Linked DNA regions of Daphnia pulex. The protein of the gene in region 3 purifies or fractionates together with the protein of the main gene of each other region. This does not show direct contact. Links are inferred from orthologs where the notes say so. Each region holds a gene or a part of one and is shown on either strand. Other genes may lie near its edges.

The links. The genes of interacting proteins can lie anywhere in the genome.
Region 1: the proteins of spastin-like (region 3) and nuclear pore complex protein Nup133-like purify together in Homo sapiens (affinity purification with mass spectrometry; 3 studies listed by BioGRID and IntAct, counting the BioPlex papers as one, with this or other methods). This does not show direct contact. The link is inferred for Daphnia pulex from reciprocal best matches to the Homo sapiens genes SPAST and NUP133.
Region 2: the proteins of spastin-like (region 3) and nuclear pore complex protein Nup107-like purify together in Homo sapiens (affinity purification with mass spectrometry; 3 studies listed by BioGRID and IntAct, counting the BioPlex papers as one, with this or other methods). This does not show direct contact. The link is inferred for Daphnia pulex from reciprocal best matches to the Homo sapiens genes SPAST and NUP107.

What each region holds. Positions count from the first base shown.
Region 1 is NC_060023.1:10,064,520-10,068,543, forward strand, and holds the start of nuclear pore complex protein Nup133-like, read left to right. Parts: upstream 1-1,217; 5' UTR 1,218-1,621; coding exon 1,622-1,659; intron 1,660-1,724; coding exon 1,725-1,855; intron 1,856-1,913; coding exon 1,914-2,245; intron 2,246-2,306; coding exon 2,307-2,612; intron 2,613-2,666; coding exon 2,667-3,290; intron 3,291-3,352; coding exon 3,353-3,663; intron 3,664-3,729; coding exon 3,730-4,024. UniProt on the Homo sapiens protein: Involved in poly(A)+ RNA transport. Involved in nephrogenesis.
Region 2 is NC_060019.1:10,133,849-10,137,819, reverse strand, and holds the start of nuclear pore complex protein Nup107-like, read left to right. Parts: upstream 1-1,164; coding exon 1,165-1,944; intron 1,945-2,003; coding exon 2,004-2,349; intron 2,350-2,408; coding exon 2,409-2,760; intron 2,761-2,819; coding exon 2,820-3,288; intron 3,289-3,353; coding exon 3,354-3,971. Other genes in the region: protein BCCIP homolog, read right to left, coding at 1-58, 117-280, 355-453, 514-798. UniProt on the Homo sapiens protein: Plays a role in the nuclear pore complex (NPC) assembly and/or maintenance. Required for the assembly of peripheral proteins into the NPC. May anchor NUP62 to the NPC. Involved in nephrogenesis.
Region 3 is NC_060020.1:8,501,068-8,505,318, reverse strand, and holds the start of spastin-like, read left to right. Parts: upstream 1-1,443; 5' UTR 1,444-1,616; coding exon 1,617-1,737; intron 1,738-1,863; coding exon 1,864-1,972; intron 1,973-2,266; coding exon 2,267-2,325; intron 2,326-2,446; coding exon 2,447-2,617; intron 2,618-2,718; coding exon 2,719-2,838; intron 2,839-2,917; coding exon 2,918-3,012; intron 3,013-3,078; coding exon 3,079-3,237; intron 3,238-3,339; coding exon 3,340-3,448; intron 3,449-3,522; coding exon 3,523-3,671; intron 3,672-3,822; coding exon 3,823-4,013; intron 4,014-4,100; coding exon 4,101-4,251. UniProt on the Homo sapiens protein: ATP-dependent microtubule severing protein that specifically recognizes and cuts microtubules that are polyglutamylated.

The DNA of each region.
Region 1 (4,024 bases), on a different chromosome or scaffold from region 3:
TTTGATGAATATTTTTTCTTCCCTCCTTCTACTTTTGGAAATAACTCCTCCCTGATTTCCCCCCCCCCCTCTCCAGTCTATTTCGATAAACATCACCCTCTAAAAAAGAGAAAAAAAACGTTCGTGTCGTGAGTGGAGGAATGCAGCTGTGCGGTAATCATAGTGAGCACGTCCATTTTAAAAGGGAAAAAAAAAGCTTTTAAAAAACAAGAAAATTTTTAGTTGTTTTTGTTTCTTCAATTTGAAAGGAAAATAAGCACTTGGAGGGGAAACTAATATTATCACCTCTTTCACTTCTTATTCTTGTGTGCTAGAGAATAACACATGTACACACACACTCGCAGGTACCGGAAGGAAAATCTATCTGAAACTTCCGGGGAGGGATATCAAAAAAGTTTTGTTTCATTTCCCCCCAGCACGTTGTTTGAGCTACATCCCGTTTTAATATACATACACAACGATCGAGAAATATTTTAATTATTCGTCACGTTGTAGCCTATATAATCCGGAATTCGTCAATATATCTAAAAGGAAAGGCGGATAAATCTAGAACTGTACACATCACACACACGCACGTATACAGCCCAACAACACTGGTTTCGTGATGTTTGTGCTATCGTCCCGTTTGGGAATATATAGCATGCCCTAGCTCCTGGCTCGACCGCAATTGTATCCAACTCTTAATAAGTTAGTCCTATCTCACTAATCTTTTCATTTCAAATGGGTGGGGAAAAAACGTGGAAGAAGATGGAGATAAAATATAATCGTTCACTCACCGATGACGTTGATTGTATCTAGACGGTTGTAGATGATTTAAAAACTCACTCACAACACACTAAAAACCACGAGGTAATAGAAAAAAAGGTAATCCTCTTCAAGTTTTCCAACAAGGCCCGTTGTGAAAAGATGGTTGTTGCATCGAGCGTGGCGAGATTTGCGTTCAACTTTTTGGGAATTTGAGAAACCAAAAGATAAAAATGGCTTGAAAGTAATTTCCAAGACTTGGTTTGCCCCCACCACCACTTTCGTTCTCGTTCTTTCCTGTTGTTTTTGTCCCGCACCGGTTCACGTTGGCCGGGGTAGGTGGGACGGTCGTGACTCGACTCTCGACTGCAACTGACTCGGATCGGACGATTCGGCTCGTGCTCGACCATTCTGCTCACCAGAGGCGCCACTAGTAATCGACTTCCTTGATGTATCCATCCGCCCGTTAAATAGATCCTCGTTTACTTTATCAGATCAATTACGCAATTCAATCAAGTAACACATGAATCAATTAAAGTAGGTTTAACTTTAATGTTCAATTTACATGCATCGCTGTGTCAAATGAAAAACATTTTCACCAATTTCACCAATCAGTTTTCTTGAATTATTGTGCTAAATTTAATCTGAAATGATACTTTAGTATTTAATATGATTTTAAAATCCAAATTCATGTATGCAAAACACATCATTAAAAAAATAAGAGAAGAAAAGTAAAAGAAATTGAGTTGTATGAGGCACGGCAACATTGCGCCGCCATTAGCACCGTCAGATTTTATTTTTAAACGTGCCAGACGACAATTTTTTCAAAATATCTCAAGTCTCTAAAAAGTGAAGGAACTGAATAAATACCGAACAAATGGATAGAAAAAATTTGCTGAAAGCCGGGCGGAGAAAGTATGTGTTAAACAAGTTGTGTTAAGTTGATCAAACATGCTAAGATCCCATTTTCTTTCTTTCAGTTCATTGAATGTCAGTTCACGTTCGTTGAATGCATCATCTCGTAATTTGGCTGAATCGTCAAATTATGCCTTAGAAAATTATGGGACAGCTTTACCCGTAGCTGTAATTGAACTCATTTCCTCGGCAGAAAGTAAGTTGATAAATATGTGACCCTACTCGACCAAATTAAATTTCATGTTCGCTTTCAGGGAAAGCGGAATGCAGTGTTACACTGTCTAAAGATGGCTGGGCCTGGTTTGTGTGTGGACGGCAACTTGTCATATGGAAGTACTCCAAGGCGGCTGGTGCCAACACAGTATCAACACCTTCAAGGAAATCAATTGCTGTTTCTTCCCCAAAGTCTCATGAGTTGACCTTACCTCCAAGTGATCTAGCACACAAATCAGATCTTGTGGCGGTTTTCTGCTCAGAAGCTGACAGTGTCCCATCGTGCATTGCTGTGTCACCAGAAGGAACTGTCCGTTACTGGGATTCCATTGCTCACGAAAACTTTTTTGTTGAAATCAATGCTGATCTTCAGGTAAAATTTCAGATTAAAATTCTTATCGAACAACAAGTAATTGCAGTATTGAAATTAACAGGGTCAAGAATGTGATACTCTGAGTGAAGCTATGCCTCTGGGCTGTTTGGTAGCCACAACAACTGCCAGTGTCCTGCTGTTGACACCTCGCCTGACTGATGGCAGTCCCAACATACAGTGCCGGAATTTCAAGACACCGCAGGGACTATTAGGTTCCATTAGCCGTAGAATGTCGTCGTTGATATTTGGACCCATTTCAACACATCAGTCGATGGAGACACGGCTAGTCAAACTATTGAGCCAGAAAAAAGATAGTCACACTTTGGAAGTTCAAATCCTTTGCAGTCAAACTTTGCAGTATTGGCAGGTAAATCTACATAAAAATCTGCAAGATAACCCACTAAACTTGTTTTGTGTCTAGGTTGGTGAAACAGAGCGGCTATTATATCAGTGTGATATTGACAAATGGGCTAGGGAGTCTCTTATTGCGCACGTCTGGAGCCGAAGTGACCGCAACAGCATCCACAAATTGAGAGTCTGGATTCTTGATGCCCAAGTTTACAAAAACGACTTAATCTTGCTGATCGCCGCCTCCAATCCCAACCTGAGTTCCCAAATCCAATACGCCTTGGCCGCTCTGCCAATGCAAAGTAGCTCGCCACCTACTGGTTTTTCCTCCTTTTGTGTCCTCAAGTATGCCACAGCCATGGCTGAGCGATCAGATTCATCTTTACAGGAATCGTCCCCTCCCCAGTGTCGCTTTGTTCTCGTGGGATCGACGGCCTACTTGTACTCTGATAAATGGATCCTGTGTGTACCGTCCAACGAGCCACTAGAAGAACCCGACAAGCTTGAAGTCAAGGCTGCCAATGAACGTTTCCTAGGTGCAGGAGTCTTTAATCAGCGACCCGTTTTCTTCTCTACCCGTCACGGTGTTTTGATTTTACAACCTTCAATCGGTGGACCGAATGACAGCCAATCTTTTATTGATGAATCCATTATGGAACATTCCCAGATTATGGCCGAAAACCTTGATCCCGCCCAGGTATGTTGAAAAGTTTATCAGTGTTTTTCAAGGTGAATTACAGCATTTCATTTTACTTGCAGAATGAATCTACCTCATCAAAATTGAGATTGGCTTTCATCAATTTCTGTCGCAAAAATATTTATGAAACACAGTCGCTTCTAGAAGAATTATTTGCCTCTCCAACCAGTAAAGGCCAAATAGATTCGCTCATGGATAGAATGGTGGTTGATTTCAGTCAACAAATCATCGACGACTATCCAGCCACAGATCCTCGTTGGACAGATTCAGTTCCAGCTGGCCACGAGTCAACGTTCACCACCGTCTCCTTATTAGTCCTGCATCAGTTGGAAGATAAAGTCAAGGCTCACGACCTGTTCCTTACTTTCCTTCGGTACGTCACACTATATACTAGTCTTTATTCATTAACATTCTGTTCACGTTTTCAAAAATTATTCAGGAACATGTCAATTTGGGGCGACTTGACAGCCATTGGTGACCGTCGCGGTGCTAAATCTAGTGCATTTGTTTTGATGGAACATGCCGAGAAATTGCGTGCATCCTTGGCCCTACGAGCCCTTCATACGCCTGGTTCAACACTTATTGATGCTTCCATCCGACGGGTCCTTCAAGAAAGAGCAGTCGAACTGACAAATGACAAATTGACGCAGCAGGATCTCTTCTACCGACACATTACTGCGCTAGGAGATTTTTTTCCTTGCTTTGTGGATGTCGTCTGCGAAACTGTGGCCAAC
Region 2 (3,971 bases), on a different chromosome or scaffold from region 3:
AATGAAGTGTGTAAAGTCAAAAGGCTTTCCAGATTTTTTTGCTTCATCAATCTCCTTACTATTAACAAAATTTTACATTTAAACTTGGGATATAATTCAAATTAAGTCTTGTATACCATAGATTTTCCAGTAGGGGAACAGAAACTTGAGGTGGTATGTTTATGAACCTTTCATTGAATATAAGTCCTATCTGGTTAGATGGATCATCAAACAATCCACTCAGTTTCTTCTGTGTTTTTTCCAACAGGTACTTTTTTACTTCTTTAATACATTCCACATCCTAGGAAAAGTAAATAACAAAAAAAATTGGGTTAATTGTAATTTGTGTAACACAAATTCAAAATTTTATCTCACCTTGTGATGTGTCAAGTTAATTACAGAAGTAATTCCAAAAACTTCATCAAGAGAATTTCCTTCATCATCACTATCAGGTTCATCATTATCCACACATTGCTGAAGAAGTAGATATCTTTAGTAAAGTACACAAATTACATCTTCACAAGATTTTATTACCTGTAATATACTTCCAATGTAGTTTTGCTGAATGATGAGTTCCGTCAGACCACTTAAATTAATATGAGCCTTTAGGAAAAGCTGATGCATTAGACTCTTGATACCGTGAAAATCTTCAGCGATTGGTGATTGACCTTCAAAGTCGACTTGAATCTCTCGGTCGTTCTCTCCAAGTTGCTCATCTTCACCCATTTCTTCATCTTGAGAATCATTTTCTTCTTCTTCTTCCTCTGAAGAATCGCTGCTATCTTCTTCCATAGGCCGTTTAGTATTGAAATTCGCCATGATTTTTAAAGACAATTTTTCACACGTGTCAAAAAGTCAAAAACAAACTTAAGTTTGTCTGCTAGGAAGGGGTAGGAAGGAAGTGAAGTGAACATTCAAATTGTTTGAAATAAAATCTTAAAAATTGAGTTAAAAAATAGAATAAAATTGTATTAAATATTATAACAATTATAAAAATCAAATCATTACTATTTCAATTTCAATTAATTATAATTATTTTAATGAATAAAACTTTGAACGTGAATTGCAACGCCCTTTTACTTAGTCTGCTACGTTACAATAAAACGAAAAACGGAAAACTTCAAACCTTCAAACTTCTTCTTTATAAGACAGTGAATTTTATTGTATCTTTTTAAAATAAGCACAATGGAGTTTCAATCTCCAATTATTGCCGGTTCTAACTCAACTGTTACTGGCAAACTAAATCTTCCTGGTCGAAGAATAAAGCACTCACTCGAAAAGACATCAGACATGTTGGGGGCCAGTTGCCTCCCTTCTCCTAACCGACATAATACAATGTCTTTTATGTCTGATGATCTTAGCCACACTATTTTCGAAAGTGATCCTACATTTACGAGAATTGGTGCTGGTTTACAAAGGAAAAATCTGGATTCGACAAGAGCAGACTTAACAGTGAGCAATGTATCACGAAAGAAACGAAATGAAGAACTCATGAGCATCCTTCTAGAAGAAGAAGTTCCAGGAGTAGAAAATGTCTTAGAACTATTTGAGAGATTCCTCAAAACATTTCAGTCATATGGGGCAGAACATCAAGTGTTTAATCAGTGTGCAGAATATGAGTCAGAATGTGGAGAACAAGTATCTGCTTTGCGAAAATTGATTCAAATGGCCCCTCGTGGACACAACAAACTATCACAAGCACAAGAATTGGAGCAAGAACTGAGACTTGAGCGTGACACATGGAGATTGGTTGCATCTCTCTACCAAGATCGTTTAAACTCTGAATTTCATGACAGTGAAATGGAGTCTGATGAAATCTGGAGTGGATTGGATGATGTTACAAGTGAAGATGACTTGGTAAAACAACTCTATGACAAAAATGCCATAATCAGACAGGCTCAGCTCGTAGTCGATTGGCTGGAACAACGAGCGGCTGATGTCTATCACGATTCCCATTACAGCCAGGTATTTTTTAATGTAATTAAAATTTTCTTTTATTAAATAATATATTATACTCTAATTAGGTGGAGTTTTACGGAGATGCGGTTGCCGGCTGGGAAAATACTCTTCATTCTTTGGTCAGTAAAAAACGAGGGCTTAGTACAGATAACGTCGAGCAAAATATGGTTACTCAAATGGATCCCGATGCTCCTAACCGAGAACAAAACAGACGTCTTCACCCACTTGACAAAGAAGATGAAATGCGTTTGCTTCGTTCTGTATTTGCTCGACTCCGTTGTGGACAGCTGGATGAAGCCCAGCAGCTCTGTTTCCGAGCAGGTCAACCATTTCGGGCTGCAATTTTGGAAGGATGGAAACTGTTTCATGATCCCAACATGAAATCTCGCACGGATGTAGCCAACACGAAAGGTAATTTCCAGATTTGTAGAAACCAATGGATTCGATAAAAATATTTATCTCAACTGTAGAGTCGCCATCTGGAAATCCTTATCGTGACATATGGAAGACGATGACTTGGAAAGAGTGCGAAAATGTGCAGTTGTCGGAGGAAGAGCGCGCAATCTTTGCTCTTCTTTGTGGACATTTGAAAGCCCTTTTACCTGCCTGTCGTTCCTGGGAAGATCAACTGTGGGCTCATCTGCGTGCCATGATCGACCACTGTGTCGAGAAGGAACTTCGTCGCTGTGTCAATTATAAACGGCAACTTCAAATTCTACCAGACGAATATTGGAATCAACAGTTGACCGTCGAGTCCATTTTCTCAACTTTAGCTGCCTCCAGAGATAAGACTTTGATCGCCCAAGGCCGTGACCAATATAGGTGACTAATTCTTTAATTTGTCTAATGCGAAATTTACCAAAGCAAATTTTGAAATGCAGGATCATACAGCGCTACCTTATTATGGATGATGTTGACGGATTACTTGAAGAAATGTCGTCTTGGCTGAAACAAGGTGACAGCTGGAGCGTTCACCTACGCCCTCACATGATCCGGCTAATGTCCCATCTTGCTCTGTTCTTCCGGCGCATCGGTCGTGGCTCATGTGACGATTCCATCGGATCCATCCTGGAAGCTTACGTTCTACAACTTGTCAATCTTGGACGAACTGATTTGGCGGCTGTCTATGTTGGACAATTGCCTTTGCCAGAAGATCAAATTCGCCTGTATGCTCAATGCCTCGTTATGGTAGAGGAACAGGAAGAATCCTGTGACGACGAGGAGCGAAGGCGCCTCCTATCTTTGGCCCAGGATGTCGGACTTGATGTCAACGCTATCGCCAAACAAGTTGTAATCAAACTTTGCGACCAGGGCGGAATGGTCCAACACGTCACTGATGCTTCTCTACAGGTGATTAATATAGATTTCGATCTGCATTCGTGCATAGCGTACTCATAATTGTTTAATACTTTTAGGTAGCGACCACGGCAGAAGATGAACGCCGGATACGTTCACTGAGCTGGTTGTTAATGGATCCGTCAATGCGAAGTCAATTGCTTATCCAAGCCAACACTCTCATGCGGGGATACCTTCTCCGTCGTCAGATTGAAGCTGTGAAGCTGACGTTCCAGTTGACTCCACCCGACACAGTCGCCATATTGACCGAACTATGGGAATCACGAACTGGATTGACGGATTTGCCCACTGAAGTCGAGGCTGCTGTCCGTGAATACCTTTGCATCCAGACTTACATTGATGCACTAGACGCCTTTCAAGAATGGTTCACACGTTTCCATCACTCCAAGCCCAAGAAAACAGAAGCTACCGTTCAACAACAGCGAGGAGGAGCCAGTTCTCAACTATCATTCACTGAAAACTTACTCAAAGAACAGCATCTTAAGCAACATCAAGTTGAAATTCAACGCTGGCAGGCAGCCGTCGATTCCCTCACGCAATCAGCTATTGACAAACTGTATAACGTCCTACTTTTTCCTGACGGAGGCTGGATGGTTGATAGCATGTCCTTCGAGGAGGAAAATTCTCCCCGACAACAGCAACAACAGTTGTTGCGACAAACTTGCATCCCACACGCA
Region 3 (4,251 bases):
TCCCGTAATTTTTTGTAAATAATGTTTTTTCCATACATGGGGACAAATTTGTAGAAAGACCCGTTTTCACTATAGTATACTATACTACCCTACACTATATCAGGAGTCAGAAAATAAAAATTAAAAACGGTTTCCCTACACTACACCACACTATACTACGCCATACACTACACTACATGGTGGCTGGTGTAGGAGCATCCCCAGACCGGTAGTTGCAGATACGCTCACTAGGTGGCGCCACGGTATTTCAAAGTCAGCCAGGGGTAGTGAGCCAAACGGCACGTCATAAACGACATTCCTTGGGGGATATTTAACATGAAGATTGGAAAACATCTCTCCACATGGACTACTCTAATTAAGGACGGGAATCTTCGCTATCCTGCCTTGTTATAGCTAGTCGGGTGGGGTATTTTCATGAAAACATTAATAAAAAATATCATTAAATTCAGTTTTTTTCGCTGATTCCAACTATGGATATAAATCTTAGCGAAATAAACTAATCCTTAAGATATTAGAAATTTATTTTCAGGAGTAGGGATAAAAGGACAAAACACCGGTGCCATCTAGCAACCAAACATCCTAAGCTCTTAAGAATATACGCTACAAGGTAAAAGATAGTTAGGCAGCTATGTAGGACTAGAGATAATAGAGTGGTCTCTCTTTCTCTCGTTATGCATGCATGGGCATCTGCTTGCAAACTAACAAGAGCTTAGGAGGTTTGGTTCCTAGATGGCACCGGTGTTTTGCCCTATTTCAAATTTTCCGTTAAGGAATTGGAAATATCTCTATAAAAATAAATGTTAGGTATAGGAACATATGGTAATTATATGGTAATTTTTTAATTCTGATTCTACTTCTCCCACAAAAAAATGTACATTGCCGACATAGGAAACGCCGAAGAGTCCCGTCCTTAATTAGAGTAGTCCATGCTCTCCATAACCTATTAACCTGCCATAACCATCCAAAGCAGAGCTATAGAATAGCCTACTGGTACCGCCACTTATATGGCGAGCCCTTCCATTGCTTTTTTTCTCTGGAAGTGAAGCCTGCTTATTGCCTGCCCTGTCCCGTAGCTATAAGCGCCACGGCGGGTGTGTGGGGAAATAGGGTATAGGAATGGTATAGGAATAGAGGGAAAATTGGAGGAGTGGTAAGGGTCGAGATCGATATCTTAGCTCCGATTTTCACTATCGATTGCTAAAGTTGGCTTCAATCTAGAGAAAATTTCCGAGAGGAGTTAACATGGCAGTGGCGGTACCACAGTCCGCAGTATTCTATAGCTCTGATCCAAAGAGTAAAAAAATATTTAAAAAATAAAAACATTTAAATAACGTGTAAATCATACTTAATTGCTATTTTTCTAATATTATTACTTTTGCCATTTTTGTATCATTGTATGAAGTATGATTGATTTTCGTAAATTTTGTTTGCCTTTGTTGAAATTTGGCTTTGTTGCCTCAGCTCAAAGTGAATGTCAATGTCTGTCTGATTCTTGTTGACGAAGCTGACGTGACGAGTAACGACATATACACCTGATATTTTTGATATCTCAAAACTTTCCACGACACTTCCTCCTTCAGGCTTCAACCATTTAGTATTAGTACACCCTATTTAAAATGTGGAACTCAGGTGGTAAAGGTTCCTCAAGTGATATCGTCAATAGGCAAAAACAGTGCCATATAAAAGCATTCGAATTAATCTCGCGAGCCCTGGAACTTGACGAACGAAATTTTAATGGTAACCCAGCGAATCTATATGTATATATATTTTTCTGAAATCAAATCACATGATTCATCATTCTCATTTATAAATGTATTTATAATATTAACTTGCTTTGTGGGCCCTTCTGTTATGCACATAAAGAAGATAAGGCTGTAGCAATCGAATTATATTCTGAAGGTATAAAAGAATTGGAATCTGGAATCAGCATTGAAATAAAAGGAATAGGAGAAGCATATGAAAGTGCCAAGAGGTAAGCCAAGTTGTTGTACCCATAAATAAAGAAATCAAGGTTGTATGATTGCACATGTATTGTCCCAAAGCTATGCCTATAAAATTTTTATTCAAATATTCAAGGAACTTGTAGCTATTACCTTTAGTAGTTCAGTTTATTTTTATTTATTTTTTTGTGTAACATTTTACACCAAGATTCATGAATGTCTAAGTTTAAGCAGCCTCAATTTACATGGGCTTATTTTTATAACTTCGTGTTTGTTTGAATTCTTACTCATGTTCTTTTTTGTTATTTAAATTTTACCAACACTAGATTACAAATGAAGATGAGAACCAATTTGGAAATGGCGAGAGATCGCCTACATTTTTTAAGTAAGCAATTTTTTAATTACTCTGGCAAAGTAATTTATTCATTTTCTTGATTATTTTCACTACAAATGATTTAAACTTGAAAATTACATTTTCTTAACTTTTTCTATTTTTTTTTGTTTAGGTGGCATGAGTGACTTACAGCACTTACCTTTGTGTGATCCGGAGGACGAAGTTTTACCTTTTGAATTTGTACCTGCTCGCGGAAATACTGAAGAAAGCAATCGCAAAGTTTCTGACCAATCAAGAGCCTTGCCGACCTCACGTCCTTCCGGTATTGCCGTAGCACGATCTGGTATTTATTTGATACTTGTATTGTTTAAAATAATCAATTTACTCTATATCGATTAATTGATTGCTACTATCCTTTTCATCATTTTTCTGCGATTATTAAAGCGACTACGACCCGAAAGAATGTCGTAACTCCAATTCGTAGAACTGGTACTTTAAAATCCAATATCACTCCTGTTGCTCAAGTAACCAACAATAAGGGCAGTCCGAATGCAAAAGGAACAGGTAAAACCAGGCAAAATTAATAATTTCTTTCTATTATTTTCTCAGTATAATGATTTTTTTTTGTTTTTTTTTTTTTCAGTCACCAGATCGAATGCCACCACTTCCGTTACCGCCAAAACAACTCCTGTTAGGTTGCCGGTTGCCGCAGCTAACCGTCGCCCCACACCTATTTCTGTAATTACCTAGTGGTACTTACTTACAACCATAGTTTGTTTACACAATTCTGGGATTCCTGAATAGAGTACTACACCGAATAAAGCCCCGTCCTCATCCGTAGGCAAGCCGACCTTAAAAGCATCTGGTATCAAAGGTGTTGAATCAAAGTTAGCATCTTTAATTCTGGATGAAATTGTCGACGGTGGTGCTGGAGTTTCTTTTGATGACATTGCAGGTTTGGAGGTAGAAACATATCGTTTAGCATTAAGTGAACTTACAGTAGATATTTTATTCTTTTCTGTTTTTTGTTTTTTTTTTTTTTTTTTTTATTTATCAATTCTGTAGCAAGCCAAGCAAGCTCTACAAGAGATTGTGATTCTTCCTTCCCTAAGACCTGAACTCTTTACAGGACTTCGCTCACCTGCTCGAGGACTTCTCCTTTTTGGTCCCCCTGGTACATACAATTAATTTATTCACCAGCCTTCCCCCCCCCCTTTTTTTTAACGGTTTACTGGTATTTTTAAATAGGTAATGGTAAAACGCTGCTGGCTCGCGCTGTCGCTAGTGAATCATCTGCCAAATTTTTTAATATATCCGCTTCGTCTTTGACATCTAAATATGTCGGAGAAGGCGAAAAACTTGTGCGGGCTCTATTTGGTGTTGCTCGAGAATTACAGGTATTGTGACATGTTCTAGGAGAAATAACTCACAAAAATTCTTTATTGTTTTTGCCGAGATTATTTATCTTGGTAATCTAAAAAAAAATCACAAAGAAAAAAGTGCCTTCGAGAAATATATAAATGAAATTTTCTTCAACTTTTTTTACAGCCGTCTATCATTTTTGTCGATGAAATCGATTCACTGCTTTGTGAACGTAGGGAAGGAGAACATGAAGCGAGCCGAAGACTTAAAACAGAATTCCTTTGTCAATTTGATGGACTTCATGCCTCGCACGAAGAAAAAATCTTGGTTATGGGAGCAACTAATCGACCACAGGAGTTAGACGAAGCTGTCCTTAGGTATTAAATATTAAAGCCAATTTCGCTTAAAAATTTGTATTGCAAGCAATCACGAAATCCTATGAACGTTCGTTTGTTTCACTCAAGACGTTTCCCCAAAAGACTCTATGTCCGTTTACCGGATGCCTCTGCAAGAGTTCTGCTGTTAACGCAACTTCTTTCAAAGCATAACAGTCCACTAGGTGAAAAACAACTCATTAAACTCGCCGAGCTGACTCAAAGCTACTCTAGTTCTGAT